2 linked regions of the Neodiprion lecontei genome follow. The protein of the gene in region 1 purifies or fractionates together with the protein of each later gene. This does not show direct contact. Links are inferred from orthologs where the notes say so. Each region holds a gene or a part of one and is shown on either strand. Other genes may lie near its edges.

The links.
Region 2: the proteins of trithorax group protein osa (region 1) and brahma-associated protein of 60 kDa purify together in Drosophila melanogaster (affinity purification with mass spectrometry; 3 studies listed by BioGRID, with this or other methods). This does not show direct contact. The link is inferred for Neodiprion lecontei from reciprocal best matches to the Drosophila melanogaster genes osa and Bap60.

Annotation. Positions count from the first base shown.
Region 1 is NC_060263.1:27,303,990-27,309,159, forward strand, and holds the start of trithorax group protein osa, read right to left. Parts: upstream 3,274-5,170; 5' UTR 3,145-3,273; coding exon 2,383-3,144; intron 947-2,382; coding exon 824-946; intron 1-823. Other genes in the region: NF-kappa-B-repressing factor, read left to right, coding at 4,702-4,877, 5,128-5,170. UniProt on the Drosophila melanogaster protein: Trithorax group (trxG) protein required for embryonic segmentation, development of the notum and wing margin, and photoreceptor differentiation. Required for the activation of genes such as Antp, Ubx and Eve.
Region 2 is NC_060261.1:37,097,683-37,104,810, reverse strand, and holds brahma-associated protein of 60 kDa, read right to left. Parts: upstream 5,487-7,128; 5' UTR 5,465-5,486; intron 5,426-5,464; exon of another isoform or gene 5,404-5,425; intron 5,329-5,403; exon of another isoform or gene 5,095-5,328; intron 4,560-5,094; 5' UTR 4,544-4,559; coding exon 4,421-4,543; intron 4,168-4,420; coding exon 3,992-4,167; intron 3,768-3,991; coding exon 3,735-3,767; intron 3,624-3,734; coding exon 3,278-3,623; intron 3,208-3,277; coding exon 3,010-3,207; intron 2,372-3,009; coding exon 2,113-2,371; intron 1,914-2,112; coding exon 1,507-1,913; 3' UTR 748-1,506; downstream 1-747. UniProt on the Drosophila melanogaster protein: Involved in the recruitment and site-specific anchoring of the Brahma complex at specific promoter sites.

The sequences.
Region 1 (5,170 bases):
ACCGATGATTTAAACAATTTTCATATTCTTTAATGTAATACAAATGTGATTCCAAAAGTAGTATCACCCGTTCATACACTTTCCAAGTATTGAATTGTTATATCAAAATGAAAATATTGTTCAATTTGATCTGCTACATACATAAATTATCTCAGAAAATGATCAGGAATTTTCTCCAATTTTCGAGTCTATTAACTTGTGAGGATATGAACAAACGTAATAGTATTTCATGTTAGATGTACACAAATCTTTTTTGTTAATATTCATGTTTAAGAAACATGCACAGTCAATTCTAAGATTACAACTTCAACGATCTTATCTGATTCTCTCCTAAGTTTTTTTTTTTGCATTTCTCCTATTCTACTAGACATTTTTTGTTTCAATTAAGGTTTTATCAGGGGATTTGTGCTCAAAAAGATGTTGAGAGCTACTATAAATGTAACTCCATAAAACTCACACTAATAATAGGTTTAGTCAACAGTCAGATTCTAGGACTTGTACATAGCTATGTAATTGTGCACGAGGTTGAAGTTAGTAACGTTATCGCAACGAAACATTGGGAAAAACATTAGTATTTTCTTATTTTTACAACGGCTGAAGGAACTAAGATTTCGGAATATAAGCCTATGTCTTGATTTATTATGGTTTACTGATTTCAATCATTTCCAAAGTCACAAAATAACAGTTTTTCCTCAGCATAAGTCATTATGGTAACGCTATTAACTTCAGCATGATCTTTATTCTTCTCTTTAAAGAATACATGACGATCGTACAGCAGTTCACTCTTGCAGTACATAAAGCTTGGTAAATTATTTTTGCTTACCTGATGGTGACTGTACGGTACATGAGGTCGGGATGTCGATGAGTAGCGTTGGGTGTAGGGTGGATATGGCATGGGTGTTGGGGACCTTGGTCCCCCCGGGCCAGGATGTAACCTTGGTGAACCCTGAAAAGATTGTCGACATTAATTTCTATCCCAAGATATATGCTGCAAGCTTTTGTGCAATCTTTCAATCACTGGGAATATTGAACAAAAATTGAAATATGATCTGTCCGGGTGGTACGATGAATGTTTAATTATTGAACTTAACCTGCGGTCAATTATGTGAGATTAGATCTTACTGAGCAGAGGTTTACAAAAGACTAATTTTGTGCATTTTACGAATTACTGATGGTATTGATTTCTTGATATACGAATAATCAATTCCCAAACAAAAAAAAGTTTCACATCAAGGATTTATAGCATTTGAAATTCATGAACTCTGACGTACAGGTTGACCTAACAATAATGTGAAACCTTAGGGAATTTGTTCTACTTGTGTTACACGTACTATTTACTTGAAACATTATTCCTTATGCACATAGATATTAATTAATATTGCGTATCCCAAATTTGAAACGACAGCTGACTGAAAATAGCCTGACAAGGCTATAGATTTCCATTTTGTACGTATAATTATTCATTTACACGTAATATGACAAAGCTCAGTGAATACTACACAATTTCATATCTGTAATGTATAATATTTGATACCTCATTACTTCTAAACTGAGTTAGAATATTACCAATGCTTGCTACATTATCGATATATGTCACAAGGAAATTCTTTGCTAAATTTATTTCATACAACTCGAAATTTTGCCACAAAGTCCACGTAGCCACAGTTTCAAAGCAACGGGTCTAATATCCCGCTATCGGAAAGCACGAACAGTCGCATACCCAAAGTCCTGAAACCTTAACCTAAGTTGCTGTCTAACATGTTTAGATAGCTATGCTTAAAAAAATTAGTTATATAACTATCACAGAATATGCAATCAGAAAAAATCCTTGCTCGCTATTCGTTACGAGCAACTCCTTGATTCAGATTCAGTATTCGTGACTCGGAATCACTGATAATCTGAAGATTTTCTCATTTAACGAACAGAAAGCCCTGTATTTTTAGTCATGGAATGTGGGAAATAAACATTTTGGCTATATTTTCTCTTTATGCAAAAGCTTTCATTCATGTCGAATTGTACAGCCGTAATCGTAAGACCATAGACCCAAGACAAGGTTATAAAAAAGATGAAATTAGTCCGAAAGATTTTGGCAAACGCAATCTTTACTTTAATGGCAAATTGCAGGATACGTTGTCACAGAATTTTGATATGGTATTCCCGTGAAAGAGGCAACAGAGCTTCTCGGGTACTCCACGTTTTTCTAGTAGCTCAACACCCTTGAGCTTGGACACGACAATTTGGAGAAATTTCACCGGTTCACGTTACCCCACAGAGCAGTGATTCCAGAGACCCGTGTAGTCGTCCCTATAAACTCGTGCGCTGAAAATACTCATTGCATGATAGCGACGAATGGAGGGAAACGCGCAGTTTCATTCTACTCACAGTTTGCGGGGGGCGTTGTCCTGGCTGCGGGTAAACCGGCGGTACGACAGGTGGACGCTGCATGGGCCACGGCTGCTGGTACGGCTCTGCCCCCATGCCTGGATAGTTGGAGTGAAACCGATGAACGGGGCTCGATGCTTGAAGCAATTGGTTAAGCGTAGGCGTAGGGCCGGTGGCTTGGGATATACTTTGACCGGATAAAAATCTTGGGGATTGCCCCGGGAATCCAGCAGACACAGGGGGATTAGAGTGAGAGAGGCGCGGTGACTCCATTTTAGAGACCAGGTAATGTTCATCAGAAGATTCACATTGACTCACTGAATGTCCTGTGCTCCCTTCACTGACAGATTGTTTACTAGAATACTCATCACTGTTATACTCCCTTCCCCCACTACCGCCCAAGGTGTTCCCAACAAAACCATGCGGATGACTTGTGTCAAGTGTTTCACCTTTCGAGGTGTGATCACCCCCAAGCGATCCCTCTTTCGTCGATTTACCACCGATATTTTGTTCACTACTATACACGGCACCAGCAGCAGTAGGGTGTCCACTAATGTCCTCGCGGTATTGACTCATCTCCGCTAAACTGGGATTATTTGGCCCACCGCGATTCACATATTTAAGCACCGCATTACAGGATACTTCATCATTGGTATTGAATTCCTTTACGCTGCTATTTACCCCAAGTTGAGAATGTTTTTGAATACATTTCACTTCACTATGCACATCGTTTTGTTGGCTTTCGGCTTGCGTTGCAGCCATGTTCTTACATCCCCACTATCATTTTGCGAGGCAATAGATCCGCTAGCCAATCAGAAGCCTCTATTTTTCGAAAGGATGTAGATTCGTCGAAGTTCACTACGCCATTGGTCGGTAAAATAGGATAACGGAAATTGGAAATCACACGCATTAACCGCATGGCCAGACGCCTACAGAGAGCACTATCGTCGCCCCAGCCAGGCTAGCTTGGTCTACGATTTTTTATATACCGTAGAGATTTCGAGTGCTTTTACAATCTGCCCGAGGCTGCCGGTTGCCCTCCGAACGTTCTCTCCGACATATACGATCGAGATATATCCTACGGGAAAGACCACGTAGCTTACAGCCACATACTCGATGACCCAATTATGTATCGTCAACGATGCCCGACTGTCGATCGCCCCAATGACGCCGATACATTTTTGTTTATCTTGTAAATTGCATTACCCCCCCTTTCGCGGATTTTATTTTTTTAAATAAATGAAGCCTGGTATAAATATTGTTGAAAATCCACACCGCTTCAGGCATCGCGTTTCACCCAATGGGATTCTCCGTTAGGTTTTCAGGAAGGTGAAGTTTTCTAGTTAAACGCTCTAGTCATTGGTCTACACCTCGACGCCCAAATACGTCGTAAACTCGCGTTGACGCAAAACCGAAAATTGTAAAAATCTCCTTTCGGTGCAACGAGCTTTCGGTCTTTATTTTGATCTAAGAGATCGTCGAAGTCTAATTGCGATCCACCAATACTGGTTATTTTGGTCGGCGCACCATATCACCATCATATATGTATATATGTATATGTATGTGAAGAAATCATTGCATATATTATAATTCCCATTCACCAACTATTTTCCTCACTTTTGGTTGCCTATCGTGAATGATTACAAAGAATTTTCACTCCATTTTGCCAAAATATTGAATTTAACTTGTCGTAATGCATCCGTGATATGATATATGATTACATGCCTTCAAATTGTGATGGCAAACGCCGCTGTAGCGAAAAGTGGCGGCTGCATGTCACACAATCACTGGCTGGCGGAACCACCAATCAGGATTACTATCCCGAAATGAATACGCGTTTGACGTATTCGCGAGTCGTGCAAGCTTGGTGTAAACGGGGCCGAAGCTTGTAATGCATACGATAAATCACTATTCACAAATACAATACATACAGCATACGTATGTATACGTAATCTTACTTATTCCCTTCAGAGGGTTTAACTTGTACATGTAGTAATTTTTTATTGATCTGTACTGATTTTTTATTTTCAGTTACCGTTATTTATTATTCAACAGAAAACTTTTGAAGTATGAAACGCTCGCATTTTTTGGTTATCTTTTACGATTGACGTTTCACAAAGCTTCGGTATGGTCACAAATATACTGGCCGAACCACACGAGAATATACCGATTCTAAACCGGTCATAATTTATTTCGCTCGCGTCATCCAACATTTATTTTTCGTCGTATAAATTATTTTACAGTTAATGTCCGATTGCAAACACGAACGCTTCTGCATTTCAGGTTAGATTTACTTCTCAAGTTCTTCCTACAGAGCCAATGAAAATGGAATCAGAAAAGGAATGGGATGTAGAACAATACAAAATGGAGCATGAGTGTGACGAGCACTGGGAATTGAGGCGCCGCTTCCTTCTTGCCCACAAAGATAGTTTTCCTGAGGATGAGCTTGTATGTCTGGCGCAGGTTTTCACAAACATAGAATTCTTAGGGTGTCGGTACGTCTGCGAACACAAAGAAAACTTTCTAAATTAATATAGTAATTAGTAAGATCTCATGTTTTTCATATTTTAATCATCGGCATGCCTGTTTTTTGTTTACACACATTGAAAGTTAAATGTTTTCGTTATATTCCTCAAAATTGATTATTTGATCAGTAACAGCCAATTACATGTAGCTACCATTTTTTAAATAATATTGACAGCTGTTGTATATTCCTGTTCTAAATTCAGGATTTCATGATTTTAGCTATCCCGAAGAAACAATGCAGCTTGTAGCCGAATTATCTCAA
Region 2 (7,128 bases), on another chromosome or scaffold:
TAAACTTTTTGAATGACTAAATAACGAGCCCTGGATACTAGTTATGAATCCATGCGACTATCTGCATATATTATTTCAATATTATTCTGTATATCTGTATTGAAATATGAAATAGAATTAAGAAAGCATTGTGATTTTTGTCATTTGACAGGTATCAAAACTGATAAATAAAATTACAATGTTTATGCTCTGGAACTCTGCATTTTTTGTGTTTTAAATCCAAGTTTTCATTCACAAATACCTAATTTTGAGAAACGTATAGTCTATAGGAAGAAAATCCGAATTTGGAGCAGATTCTGGAATATCACACACTGTATGAAGGAATGCACACAAGATCTCCTAAAAGCACTTTGAGCGACAAAGGATTTGTCATCCTCACTTTACTGTGTATAGAGAATACCTTGAAACAGGCCTTCCAAGCTACAACAGGTCCTTCCATGCATCATGATAACCGCTGTAAATTGACCCCTGTGTGAGTGTGATTGGTCCACTTTGAGACATCCTTTCCGTACGAAAAAATTTCGTGGAAATCTGTAGATTATTCTGATACTCTACATTAAACCTGTAAAACTATTTACTATACAAATATGACAAATAATTAATGTTTGAAACACCAAACAGAATTCGCTCGCTTTATTACAACTTTTTCATCCAATAATTACAGAGTACTACGAACTTCAGCAGCATCAGATATAAGAACTAAAAAATGAGTTCATGTTGTCAAGAGGACGATATCAAACACAAAAATTTATCGGCTGTATCTCAATATTATTTATTTGCTATAATGTGTATAATCATGACTTATTTTTTGTATACCCGGTGAAAGAGTCACATACTTTACTTCAATTAATATTGTGAATGTACCACAAAGGTATGGGTTTCAATAATGTGACTGTATTGATGATGAATCTAGTGACATTGAATGCACGGAGGCAAATTGAAATTAGCAAAAATATTAAATGTTATAAATACTGTTAAATGTTCACGATACATTTCTGAAAGATTATTAAATATGATTAAAAAGTTGCATCAGCAGACCTCGTTGACGTATTTCTTAATTTGAATAGCATCAATAATCAGAAATTTGTGGTAATACGCAGTATAATCCACAGTTAAAAGTTCGACTTTATCTATGGTATGGTTTTTATTACATTTATAAAGTGTAATACAATTTTTATATAATCGTATTACTGCTTTTTACCTTCCTGACTTGTACTTGAGGCAATAGTCATATTCACCTGACGTAGTATAATAAATTGGTAATGCCGTGCCAATAAAAGTTATATTTGGGTAATTTTGGCTATAATTCATTCGATTTGAATTTAATTGTTATAATCATGTAAAAAAATTCACAGAACTCTTTTAATCATTTGGATCGTTCGCCTTAATTATGCATGAGCACATAAAAAATTATCATATTAAACCGTGTCCTTCAGGAAAGTGTACTGGTTGGCAATTGCATGCCTAACTGACGATACCGTTGGCAATTATGGGATAGTTTGAGGTTTATGAATTGCGAATTCCAAGAGCTTGTTCTAACTCTGCACGCTTTTGTTGAACTTTAGTGTAAAAGTATCGACATACTGCTTCTTGGGCCCAAGGCTGATAGTAGAAATCAGCTCTACGCTCTTCCTCGGGGTTGCCAACAACATCTGTCATTGTCTTCAAGTCTCTAGTCTGTGATATAATCCACTTGTTGATAAACTGCTGAGGGTCCTTTGCGAAGCTCAAAAAGAACTCACGATTTGTTTTCAACTGGTTTATAGTTTCCACTGTCTCGTGAATTTTATTATCAAGGCTTTGAATTTCTTGCTGACTTGCAGTCGACAACAAGAAATTGTTCATCTGGGTCTTGAGCGTATCATCTACTTCAACGTCGATATCATAACACGCGGTTTGCTTTGTCTCTGTACCTAAATGAAAATGTTTTAATGGCAATGGAGCAAGAATTAGTATTATACCTGGATTCATATTCTTCAAATCGAGGAACAACCACATTTGAAATCAATTGAAAAGTTTGACAGATTAAAAGCTGATGTACTCCATACAACAATTTTGTCAATCAAACTGTATTCATTTACGAAGATGCTCAATGATTATTATTGTACGTACCTTCTACACTAATGACATGATTAATAACAATTGGATCTGGCGGATGAAGTAATGGGTTCAAGCGTTGAGGTATTTCAGCAAATTTCATTCTAGGACAAGCAAATATTTGCTCCAGATATTTGTCGCAGTTTATAAATTCACGTTCATGTCCGTCTTGAAGTTTGTGTGTTTTTATATACTGCCAGAGAGCGGAGATGATGACTGGTCGAGTTTGTGTATGAACACCAAGTAGGCGAGCTAAGCGAGGGTCGAGCTTGAACTGCAAAATTGGCAATAAGTCAATTGAACCCCTGCATGCAACAAGAACTTGACTCGAGTTAAGTTTTGGACAATGAAATATGAATAAAGTATTTGTTAACTGATGTACAGGTGTTTTAATAAAAAAAATCAATCGTTTTTTGTTTTGACGAAATTGTCCTAACCTTTGATATCACTACACACCCATAAGATCATAATTTTCAATATTTCATTGTCCAAATCTTAACTCGAGTTAAGTTGCTGTTGCACGTAGGGTCTCAATTATTACACATAATTAGATGTTTACATACATAGGGTGACGACAACTTTGCTCGACTAAAATTCCCTGACCTTTTTTCATGAAGCTCAGGTAATGTTGGGTGGTTTTTATGACTAAAAGCTATGTACACGCGCGTGTGTATGTGTGTGTGTAAAAACTGCACAGTAACATTTCCAAAAGCGAGCTTAACTTAATTTACCAAGCCTAGTTGAAGTTTGAAAACAATTTATCAAAAAAGTACAGTTTCTTTCCTGTAGACCATCATAATTCCCTGACTTTTCCCGATAGACGGAACTCCCCGACTATTTCTGGTTTTCTCGGATTACTCGGTCAGTCGCCACCTTGATACAATTTGAATATGTTTTAATGATAAAATGTACCTGCAGTGGTTGATAATCAAGCAGCAACAAAATTGTACATCTAACATTCTTATCACCAGGTCTTTTAACTTGAAAACCATCAGTCTCTTGAGTTGTCAGCGTACGATGCCATTCAACCAGATGATTATCTGGCCCATACAAGTCTTTGTCTAGCTCTATTACCAAGCTTTTAAAGAAGGATGAAAATTTTCTCTTGACCTATGAAACAACCCAAAACATGTATGCCGCTTTTCCCAGTATAATACGAAAATGTTGGGCTCATTGATACCTTGTTGGGGTCATTTTTTGTATCATCGAGAAGTCTTCCTTCTACCCGAAGTTCCCACGAAGCAACAGAACCTTCTTCTCCTTCGCCAGCTTCTTTAGCTGGGTAGAAAGTATTAGATATAAAGATTCTCAACTTTCGTTTTTGTTTCATAGGACGTTTCAGGGCTTCTTGGATGTCCAAACGTTTGCGCATAATGGTAGCATCAAGTTTACGCTCAAAAGCAAGCAAATCCATGTACGCCTGTGACTCTGGTACAAGATCGCGTACTTTCTGAGGTAGAATTTTGTCTGCCAGTTTCTTCTTCTTCTTCGATGTGGAATGTGAGAAATCACTGTTCCAAAAATACCTAGTGAGTTTGCGTGAAAAATCATAGCTCAAAAATCAAAATTAATTTTGAAAAGATTTTTGTAAAAATTAGTTATGACGATGGCTGCATCGCCTGGTAAAAACTTTGTACCTTAGTTTGAGCTCTAATCCAGAACAGTGAGGGCTTGTACCATGAAAAACGTACAAAAAAACACAGTAACGAAAAAGACTTAGCAAAGAATTTCAGTACCATAAGCATCATATAACTTTATAAATTGACAAATTGAACATTCACTTGCTTTATAATGTTACAAGCATACAAAGAAATGTTGTAAATTACATGGTATGTTCAAAAAATGAGCAATAATAATCATTACATCTAAGATTATAGAAATAAAATGGACTCACGGTTTTTGCTGAGATATTGGTATCCGTTGCTCAGTAGATCTTTTGCTTCCTGGAGGTGTGGGCATAGGTCCTTGGCGCATATTAGTGTATGGCTGGTTTGGCCTCATCATTCCTCCAGGTCCTGGGCCTCCACTGCCCATTTGTGGAGGTGGGGTAAAACCTGACCTTTGCTGCATCTGCGTAAAGAGACATTCACCCAAAGAACAGTAGACAATTTGGATACAAAGGAGTTTTTTCAAATTTAAAAATGTTACAAATAGAGAAAACCTCAGCCGTCATATTCTAATAATAATTGCCACGAAAAATCATTTTTTTTTTCAATTAAAGTATTGGATCATAATAACTCGAGTGAATTTAAAGTTGCTCGCTGTAGTTTGAGAAAGAGAGAGAGACTTAGTAGTTAGTAAATAATAAAGAATCAAAATTAACCTTGCCTACCGGGAAGTTGGGGCCAGAATATTGTCTCAGATTTGGTGGTACGGAAGGAGGAGGGTATCGCTGTGATGGTGGGCCATTATTTCCTGTATTTGGCACAGGAAAACGCTGTGCCATTTTGAAAGCGAGCTATCTGAATATGAGTAAAATCAAAATTAAGTTCAATAGTATAGAATTACCCTAAATACACGTCATACAGTTAAATACTAGACGTTGCGCTTGAAAAAAGCCTGTACATTAAGAGAAACAAGGAAATCTAATCGAGTGATGGATGATAATTAAAAAAACCTTTACACAAGATATTCTCTTTCATTTAAATGCATAACTCTTGAAAACTGAGTGATGATTGGCAGAAGCCACGAGATGCTATTTTTCACCAAGCCTGCTCGGGCTGCGCTGAGTAAGAGCACAAATGACGCGATAAGTTTTCAATACCAATATGATGTAGTAAATTTAAGCACAGTTTAATTACAGAACACAGGTTGGATATTTATGATGGAAGACCTAAGTGGGGGGTGAGATAATTAACTCAAAATATTCCACGTGAAATTTTAAAATAATTGAGTTAATAAAGAGCAAGAATATCTGATTTGGGATGTTTTCAGTTGACACTGGAAAGCCGTAGGAGAAAAAAAGATATCTCAGTATTTTCAATAGTTATTAGTTACATTAGACGGTATTTTTTCACTGGATAACATAGCAGTAGTTAGAGTATATTGAAAACCGATAAAAATCTACGTGAAAATCAAAATAGGCAGAAAATAACCTTCACTTCTCAACTTGAGACGCACTAGCAGGAAATAAATTGGGGGGACTTTGTTTGCGGTACAAATGTTCAAACTGCGAAAACCAGAGTGCGCTTTGATTCGTCACTAGACAGTAGACTTTCCCATTTTTAGAATAGTCTTGGAATCAAGAGAATCGAGAGATGCGTGTTCGCGTTTCTCGTGCCCACGGCGTCGCTAACTGAAGACTACCTTTTATGAAAGGGGATGGGACTGTTATCTTCCGTGTTGACCGTGTTGACTAAAGACTTACAGCATTGACGTAGCATTGACATGGCATTGACTTAGGCCCGATCTCTCCCACGTTAATCGAAGTTTAAACTAAGTTCAGCCTATCCCCAACTATATACAAAAAAATGAACGCTGTTTAAACTGTTTCGAAGGAAACGGGCGTTGTGGGATTGCGTATGCCACCCGCCGATAAAGAAGCTTTCAGATCGCTAAGATGGCTCCTCACCCACTTACCTTTTGAATACTAATAACGAAAATTTAATGTGACAACATTTGAAAACTTGCTTAACACTGTCATCACACATCTGAAAATAGACAAATTATAATCTGCGAAAATAACAGACTACAATAATCTGAAATAATTGAAGTTTATACGACTTTTTTGAAGTTTTCATAGTCTCCCATTTTTTTTTTGTATTGTATTTCCGAAGTCGGAAATATTGATTGAAAATGTCTTAGATGGGGGTCTAATTTATTAAATTTGTACGTTTGGCAAATAAGTGTATCAGCTAATCTAAAAATTTGTAAAACTACAACGAAATGGAAACAAATTTTTGGAATAGTGTATGAATTATGTGTTCCACACAATCGCAAGCAGTAGAGCATTCGGTGCTTTTTTTAATGCGGTATGTTCAGCAGACCTATTACATGGTGAACAATAATACGTAATTTTTTGAATAATTTTTTCATACGTCACACGATTAATTGTTTTTATTAAGTACATTATTGTCGTGCAGACGTCGATTGTTGATCGTTTCTTAATTCATATTGTTCGTTGAATTTTTATTATAGATGAAATGGATTGCTTTGCATTGTTTATAATCGTCGATATGTGTTTAATATCGCCGCGACGAGCGAAGATTGTTCGTTGATTGTACTTAAAAAGTCTAGATTTTCATTCGTTGCTTTATAAACTCACGTATAAGGTTCTGATATGAATTTTCACATGAATTCTACATGAGAATTGTCAATAGAGCGTGAGATGCATTCGTCAAAGTGGCAAATATAACGGTTAATTAGAGTTACGTACGAAATTCAACTTCAATATATTTGCAGAGTGTTTTATTTTCAATAACTCGTTTATTGGTTAAGTCATACTTTTGTATCAAGCAGGCGATAGGGAGTCGCGACCGCTTAGGCAATGCAATGGGCAGAGCCCTGTATGTTTTTACCACGTTTTTACTAAGTCACGGGACCGTGGTTAAACCTGAACTGGTTTTACTACCTTTGATCCTCCGTAGATTTATCCAGTTTACATGACTGTGGACAAAACGGACCCTACTGGGAATACACTGTCTACCATGTTCAAGTTGGTATTCGAACAATCTTTGTGTCAACATGTCAGGGAACATCACCTTACTTCGTGTCGGTAAGTTTTCGAGAATATCGATCATATTCACGTTGCAAAGTGTGTTGTCATCTAGCTGGACTGTATTGAACAGCTGACTGTCGGCTTTGAGACAAGATCGCAGTCGCGCGCCGAAGCGTTGATACGTTTGTCGAAAGATGCGATATCATGTTTAATACTTCGGCTGATTCATTAATTCGGAAAAGAATTAAAGCGCACGGATGTTCGGAAAAATTAAGTCGTGCCTTCTCGGGCTCTTCACGACTCGTGACATGTGTATAATACTGACTGCAGGTTCATTCGTGGGCTTACTATTAGTGTCTGTAACATTTATTCGT